Drosophila melanogaster: one gene and its partner. Changing the gene in region 2 together with the main gene of any one other region gives a genetic interaction. Each region holds a gene or a part of one and is shown on either strand. Other genes may lie near its edges.

Region 1 (6,728 bases), on a different chromosome or scaffold from region 2:
TCGCTTGTTTGCGATCGCCGTAGTTAAAATGATTCGGATTCGTGGACGCATCGCCCTCTGCCGTCTGACCCCGTGCAATCGAGTTGAACTTAGCAATTATCGCAGCCCACATCGATCATATCGCTGATATCCTTTGTGTCATTCTGCCGAACTGCGGTGCTGCCAAACTGTGTCTCCGTCTCCACCCATATTTCGGTGTTTATCTTTAAATTTAGCACTGTGACGATAATACAAAGCAACACAAATTACTTCTGTTGCGCTCTCACTCAGCGATTTAAATCGGGCAGACTGGGGGTTAAAAATACAAGCAGATGGAATTACCATCACCCGAGTACGTCAGTGAAAATTTTGCACCTTTTTGCATCATTTACAGTTACACTTACAGCAGCGAATGCGAATGTGGCGTATTTGTATTTACCATACGGAGGAAGCTGCGCGCCATTCATGAAAGCGCCGCTAAGGTCAACAAACAGATTTACATGCACACACGAATATGTGCAGCGTATTCGTACACAATATCCGAATACATATACAAATCCCCCCCTCAGTGTTTTAGTCGTTTCGTTTGTCACAGGTTTATTTTGCTTTTCGTGTGGCAACGCACCTGGAAAGGCGGCAGCGAAACGACTGGTATTGGGGTTACGAGGTGGAGCGCGGAAGCAGGGGAACGAGGCCTTCAATTAATTAACTCAAAAGTCGGCAAGATACTTATTGAATTATCGAATGAGCTGCTTGCCCCTACCCTAACCGCCCACTCGCAAGCAGTGTGTGAAGTAGTAGTACAGTCTATTCAAAACATAATATTTTTTGAACAGTTCAAACTGTTAAAATAAGCATATAAACGATATGTCAAGTTGGAGAACTGGACGGGGAAAAGTACTAGTTGGGGAGAGTCTGGGATAGAATTGTAAAATTTCCATGGAGTTACAACCCCAGAACAAAGCCCTCCCCCCCATAATTGGGCCTTTCCACTGAGAGCATCTTGTAGTCGGCCGACGTTATGAATTTGCACAAATTAAACGCTTTTATTTGATCAGTAGCCACAGCTCACGGTTGTGCAACGGACAAATAAACGGAAATATGCAAAACAGAAGGCAGCGCTCGAAATCCATTACGGGAAATGTAATTTCATAAATCGTTAATCAGCCTTATGGCGAGAAGAAAAACCATCGGAAGGTTAATAGTTCTACAAGGCGGAGGGCAGAGGACGGCGGTGCCCCATTGTTGACCTAGTGAGTGTGACAAGTGAAATCCGGAAATCACGCAGCTTAAGCTGTCAAAGCTATTGGCACATCATCTTCAGATCATTTGGCATGATGTGCGTTTTAGGATAACGACGAAAAGATCGCCCTAAAGCAGGATACCTATAAAAGCTGAGCATAAATTAGAAAAACAAAGATCAAGTTAACGAGCCAATCAACACGTTCAGCGATTATGAATCCGTTGCGATAAAAATCAAAATAAATAAATAAGCAACAACCGAAACCGACTGCACTACCAATCCGAGCTCAACTAAAAGTCAAAGATAATTTATGGGACATAATAATAGTCCAGCAGATACATATGCGATTGTTTTCTGGGTGTACTGTGCGAATCGAGATCGCCAAGATGGGGCCAGCCCACACAAACAATCGGACGGCACATGGCACAGCCGGGCAGATAAACACCAAGATCAGACACGGAGTGGGATGGAATCTTTGGGGAATGTGGACGACGGACAGCGCAACAGCGGGACATGGGTAAACATTCCGGGCGCGAGTGAAGAGATAATTCCGATCTGGCAGTGGGCCAAGATACGATGTCTGCAGTGGGCAATTCGCCGAACTCTCCCGGTTCTACAAGTGCGTAATTTAGCCAGTGCCTAACCAATAACTCAATCTTCAGCTCTAAATGAAAGAACCAATATCGAAACACAACTTGACAACGGGCCAATTGTGTGGGGGGGGTTGATATGTTGATATGTGACCATATTTGAGTGGCGATCTGAGCTGGGCCCCCTGCCATTTGCCATTCCACTCCCTTCACTTCACTTCGGCATTTGACAGTCGGAAATTCATTCATATTAGAACGTCAATTTACGATTGCTTGTTTTCGAGTCGAATGCTTTGCGTAAATATTTACTCATTTTGCGTGGCAATTCTGAACACATGACAGTATGTGCTGCGCTGATTTTTTTTTTTTTTTGCTTTGTTGCGGCGTCAACTGCCTGTGATTGCCTGCCTTATTAGGGTTAATGTTGATGGGCAGCAGATTGTCTCCAGATTTCCCGCGAATCATCTGCTACTCCGCGACATGTGACTGACAGGCGGGGCGACATACTACGATGCGATGGTAGCTCAAAATACCATTTCACCTGCTACGGGGTATCGTTTAGTTGGCAGCCTGACAACTTCATTACTCGCACTCCAATAACAATTAGTGCCTAATTTCGCACGCGCCCCAAATTAGCAGAACGCTGCTCTTTTTCTAACACTCTGGACTGGACTGCTGTCGTTTTTTTTGGGCGACCTGAACTTACGTGTAACCATGGAGCTGGACGCGCATGGTGGCCAAGAGGGACAGTGTGCTGTTGGAGCAGCTGGCGCCGCCGAAGGCGGCTGGGAACTGGGGCGGTGTGGCTGTCCAGGAGGTGGGCGTGGCCGGGTAGGAAGCCTGCGGGCTGGGTGTAAGACGGTGCAGAGATTCCGTCGATGTGGAGGCGGAGGCAGCGGCGGAGGGTTGGGCGGAGAGAGGACGACGTCTGCGCTGCAGTCGGTTGTCTCGATTACGTTGCGCGTCAGCGCCCTTGGCCACGCCCTTTATGATCTGGGCCAGCTCGTCGTGGGTCATACAGTTCTTGCAGGCCGGCTCCTGGGCCTCGGGTGTCTCCGTTGGTGGGGTGACCTTTGCTTTCCGACCCTTGCTGGCCTTGAACTTGCCGCTCCTTTCGCGCTCCTCCGAGCGTCTTCCCTTGCTTCCGTAGTGCGCCTGTATGGCTCTTTCGTACTCAAAGTTTCGCTGATTGTTGTAGGCATTGTTGTTGTTTAGCGTATTGTTATTGTTATTGTTGATATTGTTGTTGTTGTAGACTTGTTTCTCTTGCAGCTTGTGATTGACCACATTGCCCAGCGAGCTGGACAACTTTTCCAGACATTTGTTGAACAGCATTTTCTTCACACTCGTTTTCTCGCACACACCAAAACAAAAAGAAGCTTAGATAGTAGTATTCCACTGCGGAAAAATGCGTCTCGGCTGGGGTGTTTTTTTATTATTTTTTTTTTATTTTGTTATTGTTTTTGTTTTATGTAACAACTTGCCCACACACACGAACACACACTGAAAGCACAAAAACTAGAATTCTTGGTTTTTGTTTTTTGCCGCTGTTTGTTGTGCTTCTCTGTTTGCTTTTTATTGATCTTAGTCAGCTCGATTAGGGGAAATGTCTACAGTTTGTCAAATAGAGTGCTGTTTACCCCGCATTCGTTTATTATTGCACAATCTTCTTGAGAGCCAGCAACAGCTTCTTTTCGTACGACTTGACATTGATGGCCTTGGCCACGGTGGTGCTGCTGCTGTTGATGGTGCTGGTGGGTTTGACCTCTGCTGGGGATGCGGCCTGCTCGTCGAGTCGCGATTGTGCCGCCATCAAATGCTCCAGGACAAATGTGGCTGAAGGCATAATTTTCGCGCTTTGCCTTCGAATAACAAAAACACTCGATGGAACTTGTACTGGCGCCCAGTAGAAATGAAACGAACTGCTTGCCGCTCGACGACGAACGGCGACTGCTTGCGAGCTGAGCTGCTAACCCGTTGGATCACAACTCGAGAATGAAGCGCCTGCTGCCGAGTCTGAAGCTTTTTGCCTCGGATTCGAAATCGCAATCGGAATCGAAATCGGATTCTTGACGTTGTCTCAGCGCGGCTCCTCTCTTTGCGATTCGATTCTTCCGCTCTCTCTTAGTGGCTATATCTCTCGGACGGGAGCTGTGGCCTGGTGGTGTTCTAAGCGCTGGGGTATGAATGAATCTGAATCTTGACTGGCTGCGGACGGCGCTTTTTGTTTTTAAATCCAGCCGGCGCTCTGGTTAGCCCTTCCTGTCGATCTCGTGGGTGGGTGTTTTTATTTATGGGCTTTATTTACTGTCAGCGAGCCAGAAGTCACAAACAAATACAAAAAAAAACACAGTAAATAAAACGGAGCGAAAGACGTAACTTTGAAATTGATTGGCAGTGGGTGTGTGCACAGCTTTCCCCTGGGCTCCTGTTTCAGTATCATCAAACTGCTTGGGCCCCTCAGCGGGCGCCACTTAATTGTAGCCATCCTGTGGACGCCACTTACGGTTTATTCAGAAAGCGAAAGCACTTTGAATTGCAATCAACATTGTAAAAAATTACACTTTTACTTTTCATTTACTTTCAATTAAGTGCTAGAGCCAGGCTAATACCTATAAATATGTATAGCGGGCTCCACTCTATGTTTATTTCGTAATGACTGTACTCCTGGATGAGTCATGGAGTTCATCGCAATCAGAATCCGAATCATACACATTTCGAAAAGCAGGCACATAAGATTAATTCCAATCCGAAAATGGTCATTTCGTGATATGAGTGTGTTGTTGGCTTGTAAGAAAGCAAATACAAAAAGCGCTTTTAGCGCCGTCCGTTGCCTGCCACCGGAAATGAAACTGAAGCCGCACAGCAACTACTGTGGCGGCCATCTAGGCAAGGAACTGGGTTTGCTGGGGGGCAGGTGGGTTGGTGGGCAGGTGGGCAGGTTGGTAGTTGGGTAAGTGGGAGCTAGAAGCGAGCAGTGCCAAAGCTCTCTTACAGCGCAGGCGCAGACGTCAGAGGTGCGAACGTGCGCAGAATATCTTTTTTTTTTTTTTGGCCAGCAAAACAAAATCGTTCGACGTGCGACAGCCTGCGAACTGCGATCTAGCAACACTTTACTTCCAGCCTCGTATTCATGCCTCCCAACGATGACGAACTATTTTTTTTTTTTCCAACATTTCGTCATTGTTTTTTCGCTGGAAACCAACTAGAACTTGTTACCCAAACCACATTCAAAATCCACTCAATGGAAATTGTCTCCGAAGTGTTCGATCAAAATTGAAAATGCTCAGCTCAAACCAGTCGGGGAAACCCCATGTAGCTATGCATGCATGCATCAATGCAAACAGGATGTTCCAGGCCAGGTGGACCAGATCCGTGGAAACCACATGGGGCTTCTGGGCGCAGTTAGGTGTCGGTTAAGAATATTAGTCATTGCAATGGCAAATGCAAGACGAGAAGTGCATTAAAAGTGAGTAGAGATGATTTGAGCTACCTGATTGCTATCGATACAGAATTAAGAGCGAGGCCAACATTGGCCATTCGCAAGTTTAAGTTCTTAGAAATGATCGGGTAACGCAATTTAGAAGTGGCATTGACCAATAGCCTACCCAACGTGTTTACATTACGTATGGAATTACTAAAAGTTCCGGCGAAGTAGTGAGTGCCGTGAGTGCCGCCCTACCCAGAAATAAACTTGATCGGTACCAGTTGCCAGAGCGACAGCCCAGTCCCAGTATCCCCAGTGCTCCATTCCTGAGCTCCGCGACCTTGGCTATCCCGATTTCGTTGCTGGAGACCCAGACCGCATTTGGGCACAGCCAAAACCATTCGTAGGTGCGATGGGGAGTGGGCCAGAAATAAACATAATTTATTGTTCAGTCGGAGGCGGGGGATGGTTAGTATGCTAGGCACACAGCTACATATGTGCCGACCACTGATTGTTCGCCACTCCGAATTGGGATTGAGATTGAGATTTGGTCTCGGGACCCAGGGATGGCAGCCAGCGGAGCCGAAGCCAAAGCCCAATCCGTAAGTGAAGCGTGCCGGACCGAATGCGCGGCGACAGCTCCTCGAAATGGGTTATTCAGTCGCCAAAAGCCAATAGCCGATAGCCAATAGCCAATTGGCAATCGCAAATCGATTGTGGGTCGCTGCGGGGACCACTGTACAGACGTGTTCGCACTAAATCAGCCAAAAACCAACAGAACTGTTTTGCGGCAAATGCCAGAGAGTATAGTTTATGGGCCATTATACCGGGCATTTGTGAGCTTGGTTATATGGTAAATTTTAAAATGAGTACTTTGCGACCCCACCCAGAAAGGGGTAAATCAAAAATAGACGGGAAGAGGCAATTAGGAGAACTACTTATATTATTTGTAAATAATTTACAAATCATAAATTCACCGCCGGTGGGCGTGGGCTGCATTTTTTTTTTTTTTTTTTTAGCTAAAACTCAGCTTGTTAACAAGAAATCATACTGTTTGCTGACAATGCAGGATTCGTGGCACCAACTCAAGCACCGAAATAATGTGTAAAAAGTTTTATAGGATTATTGCATCCTGCACAAACATGTTGCGTTTCCCAATCTCCAAGCCTAGAGAGACGAGCCCAGTTTTAGTTGTAGCCAGGTGGGCTTCCCCATAGCGGCCGAGATTTATGATACTGCTCGATTTTTGCCATGCTCCACCAGCCAAAAATATATACCGAGATTTACGATCAGTGTCGTAATTCATACTATTAGATGGAATGCTACGTGAGTGCTTCCATGTAACACTTTTTTGTAAGCAAATCAAACCTCCAGCTCCGCAAATAGCAGGGGACTCACGGCTGCTTAGTGGCGGCGTAAAAGTATTCCTTTTGGATTGGGTTGGAATATTTCGTTGGTTCGTTGGCCTGGCCCCCCACAACTTTGATTT
Region 2 (9,375 bases):
ATTGCTGTTGACATTGTGCCTGAATTTCAATTTGATGTCCACGAGGCGGCAGCTCCTGTCTACCATAAATCTTGCTCCTCAAACTGCCTAGACTCTCCGGGTGCGTTTCGGATGGGATTGGATTGGATTGGATTGGAATGGATTGGATTGGATGAGGTTGGCTTGTCTGTCTTCTTGCACGGGCGTTGGGATTTGGGAGTTGCAAGTGGCGGTGAGTGTCTACTTCGTCCCCCAAAATCCGAAGGCACTAAGCTTGTGCCCCATTTTGGAGGCACATCTGCTTTATTGTGTTGCTGTATCTCTTGTATCGCCCATCGCCCGTAATTGTATAATTTAAGCGGAAATTAATTGACAGGTGCAATCATTCAGCTCTGATTATGCACAATTACTAATTGCAGTTAGCGGAACACAAAAAAGATGTTCTTAGTCTATGTGAATTGTATTACTTACGTACATTTTACTGTTTCATCCAAGTGTTTTATTCATTTTCCGATGTAATCAAGCATCTTTGATTTGCCAACGCTTCCTTGATTATGCATCATTAATAAGTGAAATATTGGGGGATTATACCCTGTACTTTTTTAGTAAAAGAGTAGGTTTGTATTTCTTAAATTAGGTGGGAAGTACAGGACTAATTGAGAATATCCTCAACAATTTCGATTAGTTGTACTCGATCAGCATGTTTCTGCTTTAGTTTTCTATTAAGTGCTTATTGCTAATAGGTATGCATTAGTCGACTAAACGCAAACAGCTGGCAAATGTTTTTGGTTCGCTTCAAGTCCTTCGAGTTGAATGCCGATTTGGAAATTCATGGACTTAGTCCTGCTAATCCAGTTGGATTGAATATAATACTCGCATGAGATGTGGAATCACAGACAATATGAATTATTACAAAATGCGTATGCTGCGCCTTCATATTTCATATTGGGGCAACTATCGATTGGTGGCAGTGGCAACATTCGAGTGGGAAAATTCGTTGACACAAGTCTTCTGCGGAGTGGGTATTAATTAAGGATTTTCTTCGAGTCTTAGTTGTAGTTGCAACCTTTCGCTTTGAATTGCCATATTTATGTGGAGCAAATATTGATTGGGCTGCCCCCCAAAAAACTCATCCAGCAGAGGATACATACATACACAAGCTCAACTCGCCCTGAGTTATTTGTGAAGAAAACGAGAAATTCATATATAATTTAGACATTTATTTTTGTTCAATTTTTCTCTCCTTATTTATTTATCTATAATTTTTTGCTATTTGCATTTCTTCTGTCCCTTGTCTCGTGCTGAACATTTCCGTTTCCTAGTTTGTTTTATTTTATTTTTTTGTTTTGTTTTTTTTTTTTCATCGGGTGGAGTGTGGATCCATTATTTTGGAAAATCGAGTATGCTATCTTGGGGTTTTGTGGCCCAAAAGGATTCTATTTTGGCTTACGCTTTGCTGGCCTTTATGCCAGATTAGCTGTTTTCATTCGGCGATTACTTTGAATATTTCTCTATTTGCGTACGATATATATATATATATATGTATATATATATGTGTATCGGTCAATATGTCAAGTATCTTGATAATCTGCTGGCTCGATTATTTATTGCCCTTAAATTGTGGGAATTAAAACCAAGCGAGCCGACAGCCAAAAACTGAAAGTAAAATAAAAATACAAAATGGGAAATGAAAACGCTTTTGCTTGTATTTTGTTATTACTGTTGTATTCTTGAAATGTTTTGATTTTTTATTTTCTTTGGCTTTTCGTGTGTATTTTTCAATTGGATATTTTTACAGTTGAATTGGTTTGTTTCTTCTCTCTCTTGTGTTGTTGTTGTTTTTTCGTGCTTGTTTGTGTGAATTTCACTAAATTATTAAATAAATAAATAAATAAATAGTTCGCTCAATTGACGAATTAATAAACCCTCGCTGCCCTACCATAAATAAATATAATTAGTAATACTTTCGAGTGTGTGTGTGTGTGTGTGTGTGTAGGGGATTACGATGCTCGATTTTGTAACGCATTAAGTGACTTTAGTATAATTTAATTTAATTTAACTCGATTTGCTTAATTGATCTGAATTGAATGGTTCTTTGCTGTGGTTTTCCATATTTTTTTTGTTGTTTTTGCTGTTGCTGTTGTTGTTGTTTGACTAGTGTGCGACTTAATAGTATTTACAATTTGAAACAATTTGTTAGGAGGGCTAGTTATACCTAAATATATATAAATTATAACACTAAATCCTACAATTCGGAGCACATTATGCTTATGGATGTATAAACAATTTGATACAGTTTGCTGATGCTTCGATTCGATTCATTCGTAGTAATTGCGGCCAATAAATACATAATTTAAGAAAACAGACAAACCATTAATTGAAAACATGGATAAATCATTTAAATCATAGCGAGAGGCGATTAGTTCTGTTTCTCCTCTTTGATTTTCCTCTTGATTTTTACTTGGTTTTTACACGCGAAATAAATTCAGTCTTTGGTTCTATCACAACATTTGTTTACACGTTTCGGCTTCGGTTTATGTTCTCCTCACTCCTCGCACTTTCTTTTTGTCCAGTGTATTTCTCTTGATTTGTTTTTTTTTTTTTTGAGTTTGTGTACTATGTTTCGGAACTGAAACGTTTAACTGCAAACGGTAACGATAACGAGATAATGCTAACGAAAAGCAAAAGCCAAACGAATATCGAATTAGTTTTGAACTAAATCGTTGAGTGAACTTTTCTTTTCCACCAACTCTCTGTCTCTCGATCTCTCCTGAAGCTCAAGCAGATTCCGAATCCCTGCGAGCATGCTGACGACTCCGAACCTCAAACTTAGGACACTCCCAGGTCGTGCAACAGATGCTGGGTAATCACCTCACCCTGCTCCTCCATCAGCTGAGCGGTCACCGTGTTGATCAGGTTGAAAACGATGGCGAAGACGGTGAAGGCACAGTAGACGCCCAACGCTAGCCACCAGATGAGCTGCTCGTACTCTCGGTGACCGAAGTTCTTTAGCACCAGAAAGCCGATCGTTAGTCCTGCCAGGGCTCCCGTCAGGTGGGCAATGTACGACACCTGGGGACCCTTGGCGAAGGCGCTTCCATCGAAGTATTGGGTGTAGAGAGCATAGCCCAGATCGCAGGAGACTGCAAATGGAAGAACAGAAGGGATTCAAGTTAGTTAAGTTAAACATAGAAGAAAAAGATGTGACAAATTCGTGTTTAGGTAGGATAGATTAGGTTCTATAGATTCTAGTCATAAGGTGTGGGGAAACTCACCAAAGATGACAACGGATCCGAGTTGCGTGGATGCGCTCTTCATGTGCGCATAGTTCAGTGTAATGTTGGCCAGATGTGCGGCCAACAGGGCATAGACGCCACCGCTGGCGCCCACCAGGAAGACCTCCGAGTCGACGACACTGGTGCCCAGGGATCCGGCAAAAACGCCCGCCATGTAGATCACGCCGATCCTGGCCGTGCCGTGCATCACCTCCAGGGGAATGCCAAAAAACAGCTGGATGACGATATTGAAGCCCAGGTGGAACCAGTTGGCGTGCAGGAACATGTAGCTAAAGAAGCGCCACACCTGCAGACGCCGGTCCGGCCGATAGACCAGCACCGAATCCGACGGAATCGGAACGGGTAGCCCGAAATTCTGGGCGGGCATTGTGTAGCGGTCGTAGGCGAAGATGGCAATCTAAAATGGACAGAGACGCAAAGAATTGGGGGTTAGTTCTGGGCTCTCGCTCTGATTTATGTTGTTGCTGTCTGGCACGCGACCACGTTCCAAATAAAGTCTTATGAGAATGCTTAGGGGCGAGTCCTGCCAACTTGGCAGGGCTTCAAACTCACTAAACTCATACGCCCCGTGGGCCGCCCTGTTTATTTGATATTCGTGCTAGTTTCTATACGAAGCAAATTATTTCCAATACGAATGTAAGGGGTCATGTAAAAGTGTATTGTTTATTTTAAACTCAATGTTCCAAGTTACCAATTTCGCTATCAAACTAACTATCATTTCCATCTTCTCATCTTCCACTGTTTTTCACATGACAATTTTTGGTCTGCCCTTAAAAAATAAAAAAAAGAAAAAACTACGAACGGTCTGGTTTCATAAACTTTTCTGTTCGCTTTTTTTCCTTCGGCTGTTTTGTTGTTCAACTTGTTTACAATCGATTTTCGGGGGCGCCAGCGAGTCAGACGCAGAAAACGAAACACGAAAAGCGAGGAAAACTCTCGGAAAACTTCCGCCCTTCGTCGCCGCTTTCCGCCCCCTATATCATTTTTATCGCTCTTGGGATGAAAGTTTGCGGCTTCTTTGATTTAATGGGTTGAGTTACTGAGTTCGCTGTGTGTGTGCTTACCTCAATGATGGAGATCACTAGGATGAACCAGGGCCAGTGCTGGCGGTGGACGTACTTCAGCAGGCCGATATCCTCCGACTCCGGAAGTGGCGTGGCCGGGATGGCCTCGCGTTGCATGTAGATGTGCTCGCCTTGGCGGGTGCAGCAGGTGCTGCTCGCCGTGCTGCAATCGGTGTCGTACGACGAGGAGTTGGAGGAACTGGAGCACGCGGCGGGAATGTCAATGATGGTCTCCTTGGCGGCGGTGGCATGCTCCTCCTCCTGCGACGCCTCCTTCTCCTTCTCCTGGCCCAAATCCACCTTGGTTTCGTTTACATTCTGCGTTAAGTTCTCCATGCTGGCGCCGTTGAAGAAATTCTGGAGAAAGAGAGGAGCGCATAAAGTGTGTAATTAATTAACTTGAACCGAACAATAAACAAAAATCAATTAAGTGCATAAGTTATTCATAAAACGCAGCACAAAACAAGAGCAATTACAACACTTCAGAAAAACCAGAGTGTGTGGGGAAATGCAGCAGAAATAAAAGAAAAGCGAAGGAAAAGCCTGCTTCTTTGTGGGTAAGAATTTTGTTTATGGCCTGGGACACGGATTCCGATGCCTGCAACTTCCTGGCTGCTTTTCCCCGAAGGGAAAACTGGGTCAGCTTGTGTGAGCTAACCATAAAATTTGATGGGCCAAGTTTGCTTTTGTGGCCCGAAATTAGCTGGACAAAATTGAAGATGTAGCTTGTGTAGCATCTACGCCGTTACATAAACTGCACTTTCAGCCCTGAAATCATCTTCGCTAATGGCCAACTAATCAGCTAATGGCCAGGCATTATTGTAATTCATTGCCCAGAGACATTTCCTCACAAATTATGTTAATCGCATTCGATTCAATTACAGTCACAGCACAAATCTTCTTAAATTCCCCAAACAACTGTTCGTCGCAACAAGGAAAAAAAATAACAAATTCATTGCCTTGCTCAACAAAAAAAAAAAAAATAAACTTAAAAAAACGCGTTTCTCCCACTCACACTCATTGTGTTCGCATATGCCCCCTCTCTCTCTTTCGCCTCAAGTCGCATTGCACACACGCACCGTTGTTGCTTTTGTGTCTGCTACCTACACTGCTCGAAAAAGTGAGTGGGTGCCGTGCCTTGGCTGGCGCTCTTTTCATGTTCTTCATTTCGGTTGCCTAGCAATTTCAATAAGGCACGAAATCGCAGTCGGCCGCTTATTAATTAATTTATTTATTAACTTTAATTGCAGACTGCACCGAATGTCCATGCGAGCATGAAGAAGAGATGTCGAAAGCGGGCTTTAAGACATAATGAATTAATTCATTCGGCCTTCTTTTCATCATTTCTTTCTTCTCATTTTTTTTTTTTGTCTGTTTGGTCAGAAACATAGTTTCACATGGCCCGCGGTGTAATTTGCATTTTTTATGCTTTCTGCTGCACTCGCACCCCTAAAAAAAAAAACGGGCAAAGGGTGCGAGCGAGAGAGATAGAGCGAGCGGGCACACAGGTTGAACAAACTCATTACGCCTCTAAGTTGAAATGCTTTTGTTTTGCCGCTGTGACAATTTCTATTGCAATTTGCACATTTCTTGCATATCCCTTGTGGCTTGTAGCTTGTATCTCGCAACTCATATTTTGTATCTTGTATCTTTTAGCTCTCGCGCATTTTCTCATTAGGGTCGGGGGCTTACCTTAGGTTTTTCTGCCTGTCGCAATGTTTATAATCCAAAATGCGTGGGTTTCTTGTAATCCAAATGTCTTTAGTTAGCTGGCATATTCGCACGTTTTTCACTCGCTTTTTTCGGCTCGCACATTGGTAACTTAGTTTTGCTGCTCGTAAATCCAGGAGCTTGTATTCAGATATTCTTGAGATATATATTCTCTGCTTGCACCCACACACACGACAATTTGAATATTTCTTTCTTTCAGTTTCAATTTCAGTTTCGAGTCGCAGTCCGACTTTCTCAGTTTGATGATCTCGCGCTCGCGGCTCGCACGCAACTGACTTTCGAAAGGCAAGGCAGCCGGCCTTTATAAGTGCTCGCTGTGCGGTGCAGTATAAGAGAGCCACTTCGAACATGTTGTGTTTTGGTTCGGCCGTATAAGTGTTGCATGGCACATCCGGATCTTGTCTTGTGTGGGTGGGTGGGGTGTGCGCACTGCAGTCACTCGACTGCTGCAGCTCGAGGCGAGCGGTTCGAAGGTTTTTCGTCGCTGGTTATTCACTGGTTTCCCCCATCTGCCGCCTTGCCACATAACGGTGAATGACTCATCCAGACGGGCCAGCACTTCTTGCCAATGCCACTGACTAACAAATGCGTCGTCTTCTGTCTTCTGTCTTCTCGCCGATCTCCAGCGATCTGCGCTTTGTCATGGCCTACTACGCAGATCTGAGCTCTAATCTCTGCAATGTTGCGAAATTCTAGCAAGGCCTTTGCGTTTAATTGCCTTTCAGCAAAACCGACTTTTATCTCATTTTATATTATTACTAGTAATATATATTAACGTACTAGAAGAGGTTTAAGCTCATTTTAGTTGTATTTGTAAAGGTACCAAGTCCATTGTTTTGCTGAGTTTCCCGTCGATGCCTTTAAACAAAGACAAGAAAGTCAAACAAATTGTTAACACAATTAAAGATGATGAAATCGGTAGTAGCAGTCGCTTTTTCTTTAGCTCCGCACTTTCGAATAGTTTCCAGAAATAACTTCAATGTCACAATTGCTCACAATGGTAATGTAAATTAGTTTCTAAACTAAAAAAACTAGCAAAACTATTTGCTTGCTTAGAAATAGTTTTAAAATTCCTCTATTGATACGTAACCGTTCAATAGCTAAAACATTGCTTCTATAATTCTGTTGTTTTTAAGGGAACGTGCCACTGCAAGTGGCCAAAAATGCAAATAAAGTATATCGGCTCAGCAATGCAGAACATGTCATGGAATCGAATTCGAAACCGAGCCCCGTCCTGATTCCCCTTGATTCCCCGATTCCCCGTAGAAGATCATCATTGTCAGGGGTTTCGAATTTCACACCTTTTCCAGCGAGAGCTCCCTCGGAGGCGTTGAGCGAGCAGATAGAAATCGGTAGCAAAAATAAATATTTATACAAATTATTAGGCAGCCTGAGCCGTTGCAGTCACGAGTTCGCGGGAAAGGTCACCACGGCATGTTGCACAAAAGGAGTAGCTTTCGGCTTCCTGGCCGAAAGGATCGAGACGACGTGGTTACGTGTTTTGCATGATAAGCTGGGAATTTACACAGATCTAATAGATAGATATACCCATCCTGGCCAGTCATCCTCATCGGCGGCATGAAAACTCCCGCATGAAAAGTGAAAATATTTTCACTGGGCGCAAAAGAGAGGCGAAACAGATTCAGAGTCCTCGTCCTCGTCCACTGAGATTTATGATGACTTTTTAACATGTGCGTGCAACAGGTAAGCAGATACGAAAACACAGTTGCTGCACTACATGCCCATGACCAGGCACGTCATCAGCTCGGAGTTTCTCAGCTCATCTTCATCGTAAATCCTTTTTTCCCACGTTCCCTCAGGTCGAGTTCCTCCATCCTCCATTGCTGCGTTTTCATTGTGCCAGACACGCATTGCCAGCACTCCACGGACATGGACCCACTGGCACTGGCAAGGTCAGCCACCGTACCAAAGCAATCTCAGCCACCCAAAACACTCGAGCTCGAATTCAGGTAACCGAGTGGGCGTGGGTAGGACGTGGGCTTTTCCCACGCAGGACAGGACGTTGATTCCTGGCCCGTCGCCCGGGAATTTCCCCCAAAACATGTGCTCAACATATGCGAGTGCCTCATGGCATCGCGAATCAGGAAATTCCGCCCGCCACTTGCGCTTCCCGCCGCACAGCAAGGTGTCCTTTTTCCGCTTCCCAGAGTTTCGTTTCGCGACTTTTTGTTGCAGCCGCACTTGTCTTCCGCAAGTTGCGCCAAATGTTTCGCGATGTGTGTTTTTCCCACCGCATGTTTTCCCATTTTTCCATCCTGCCCAAGGATCTTAGCACTAATCATCCGACAGGGGCGCGTCTTTCAAGCAGCTTCTGAGAAGGCAGATGCAAATGGGATCGTGCGATCTGGATGATGCCCTGAGTCCTGAAAGCGACTCACTTAACTGACTCCGCAGCAAAAAGGGGAATTAAAATTCGTATCAAACTGTTGTTTTAATCATTTTGATTTTGAGCAGAGGAAAAGCTTGCGAAATAGAATATAACGACAACTTCTTGAACAAATTTGCAAACAAACAAATAACAATGGAAATGCCAGAAGTGACGGGCGTTGAAGATACCAAAGGGGCGAAATACAAACTTGACGGGCCAATTGCAAATGGCAATGGGAGTGGAATTGAAAAATTGATTGAGAATGAAGGCCAATAATAATGGAGTAAGTAATGAGACTGTCCACAACAGTCGAAGGAATCGTGGGAGTTGTGTCTCCCTTCGCATAAAAGGAGCAAAGAGTCCTGGCCAAGAAGCCAGGGAATGCTCGAAATTTATCTATTGGATTAAGGTCTCTTTTGTGGACGTCATTATGGCCAATGCTAAAGACAAATTGGAAATTTATTGTTATGAACAGCGTTGGTGGACGGAAGGAAGGAAGGAAGGAAGGGAGGGAGCGTAGCAAGGATAACAGACCAGCGAATATGCATAATAAAAATGTCAATCAATGAACTGCAACGAACCGAACGGAGTCCACCGCTTGGGTCAGTGGTGCTGCCACGATAATTGAACATAAACATTGCATTCAAGTAGCAATTGTTCAAATTATTGTGCATCCCAAATCCCAAAACCGAATCGAGAAGCCCAGAAACCAAAACGAACGCAGGACAACGGCATTGGGTTTGCGGTCAGTGCAGCAGCAGGACTGAAAATAAGCAGTTTTGTCCAAAAAAGGACATTTGTATGTATGCCGAAGACCGCTCGGAATTTGGAATGGTTCCCAGGACATGTCGACACTGGCATTTCTGGCAGCCAAAAGGAGACACCAGTGCAAACACAAATGTTGATGCCCGCATTT

What was found. A genetic interaction does not mean that the proteins touch.
Region 1: of rho (region 2) and csw, changing one suppresses a phenotype caused by changing the other (phenotypic suppression), as found in Drosophila melanogaster (2 studies listed by BioGRID).

What each region holds. Positions count from the first base shown.
Region 1 is NC_004354.4:2,099,566-2,106,293, reverse strand, and holds the start of csw (corkscrew), read right to left. Parts: upstream 4,006-6,728; 5' UTR 3,148-4,005; coding exon 2,519-3,147; intron 1-2,518. UniProt on the Drosophila melanogaster protein: Required in all receptor tyrosine kinase signaling pathways. Functions downstream of the receptor tyrosine kinase torso, acting in concert with D-Raf via tailless.
Region 2 is NT_037436.4:1,460,787-1,470,161, reverse strand, and holds rho (rhomboid), read right to left. Parts: upstream 6,352-9,375; 5' UTR 6,032-6,351; intron 4,697-6,031; 5' UTR 4,676-4,696; coding exon 4,340-4,675; intron 3,673-4,339; coding exon 3,255-3,672; intron 3,123-3,254; coding exon 2,809-3,122; 3' UTR 1,218-2,808; downstream 1-1,217.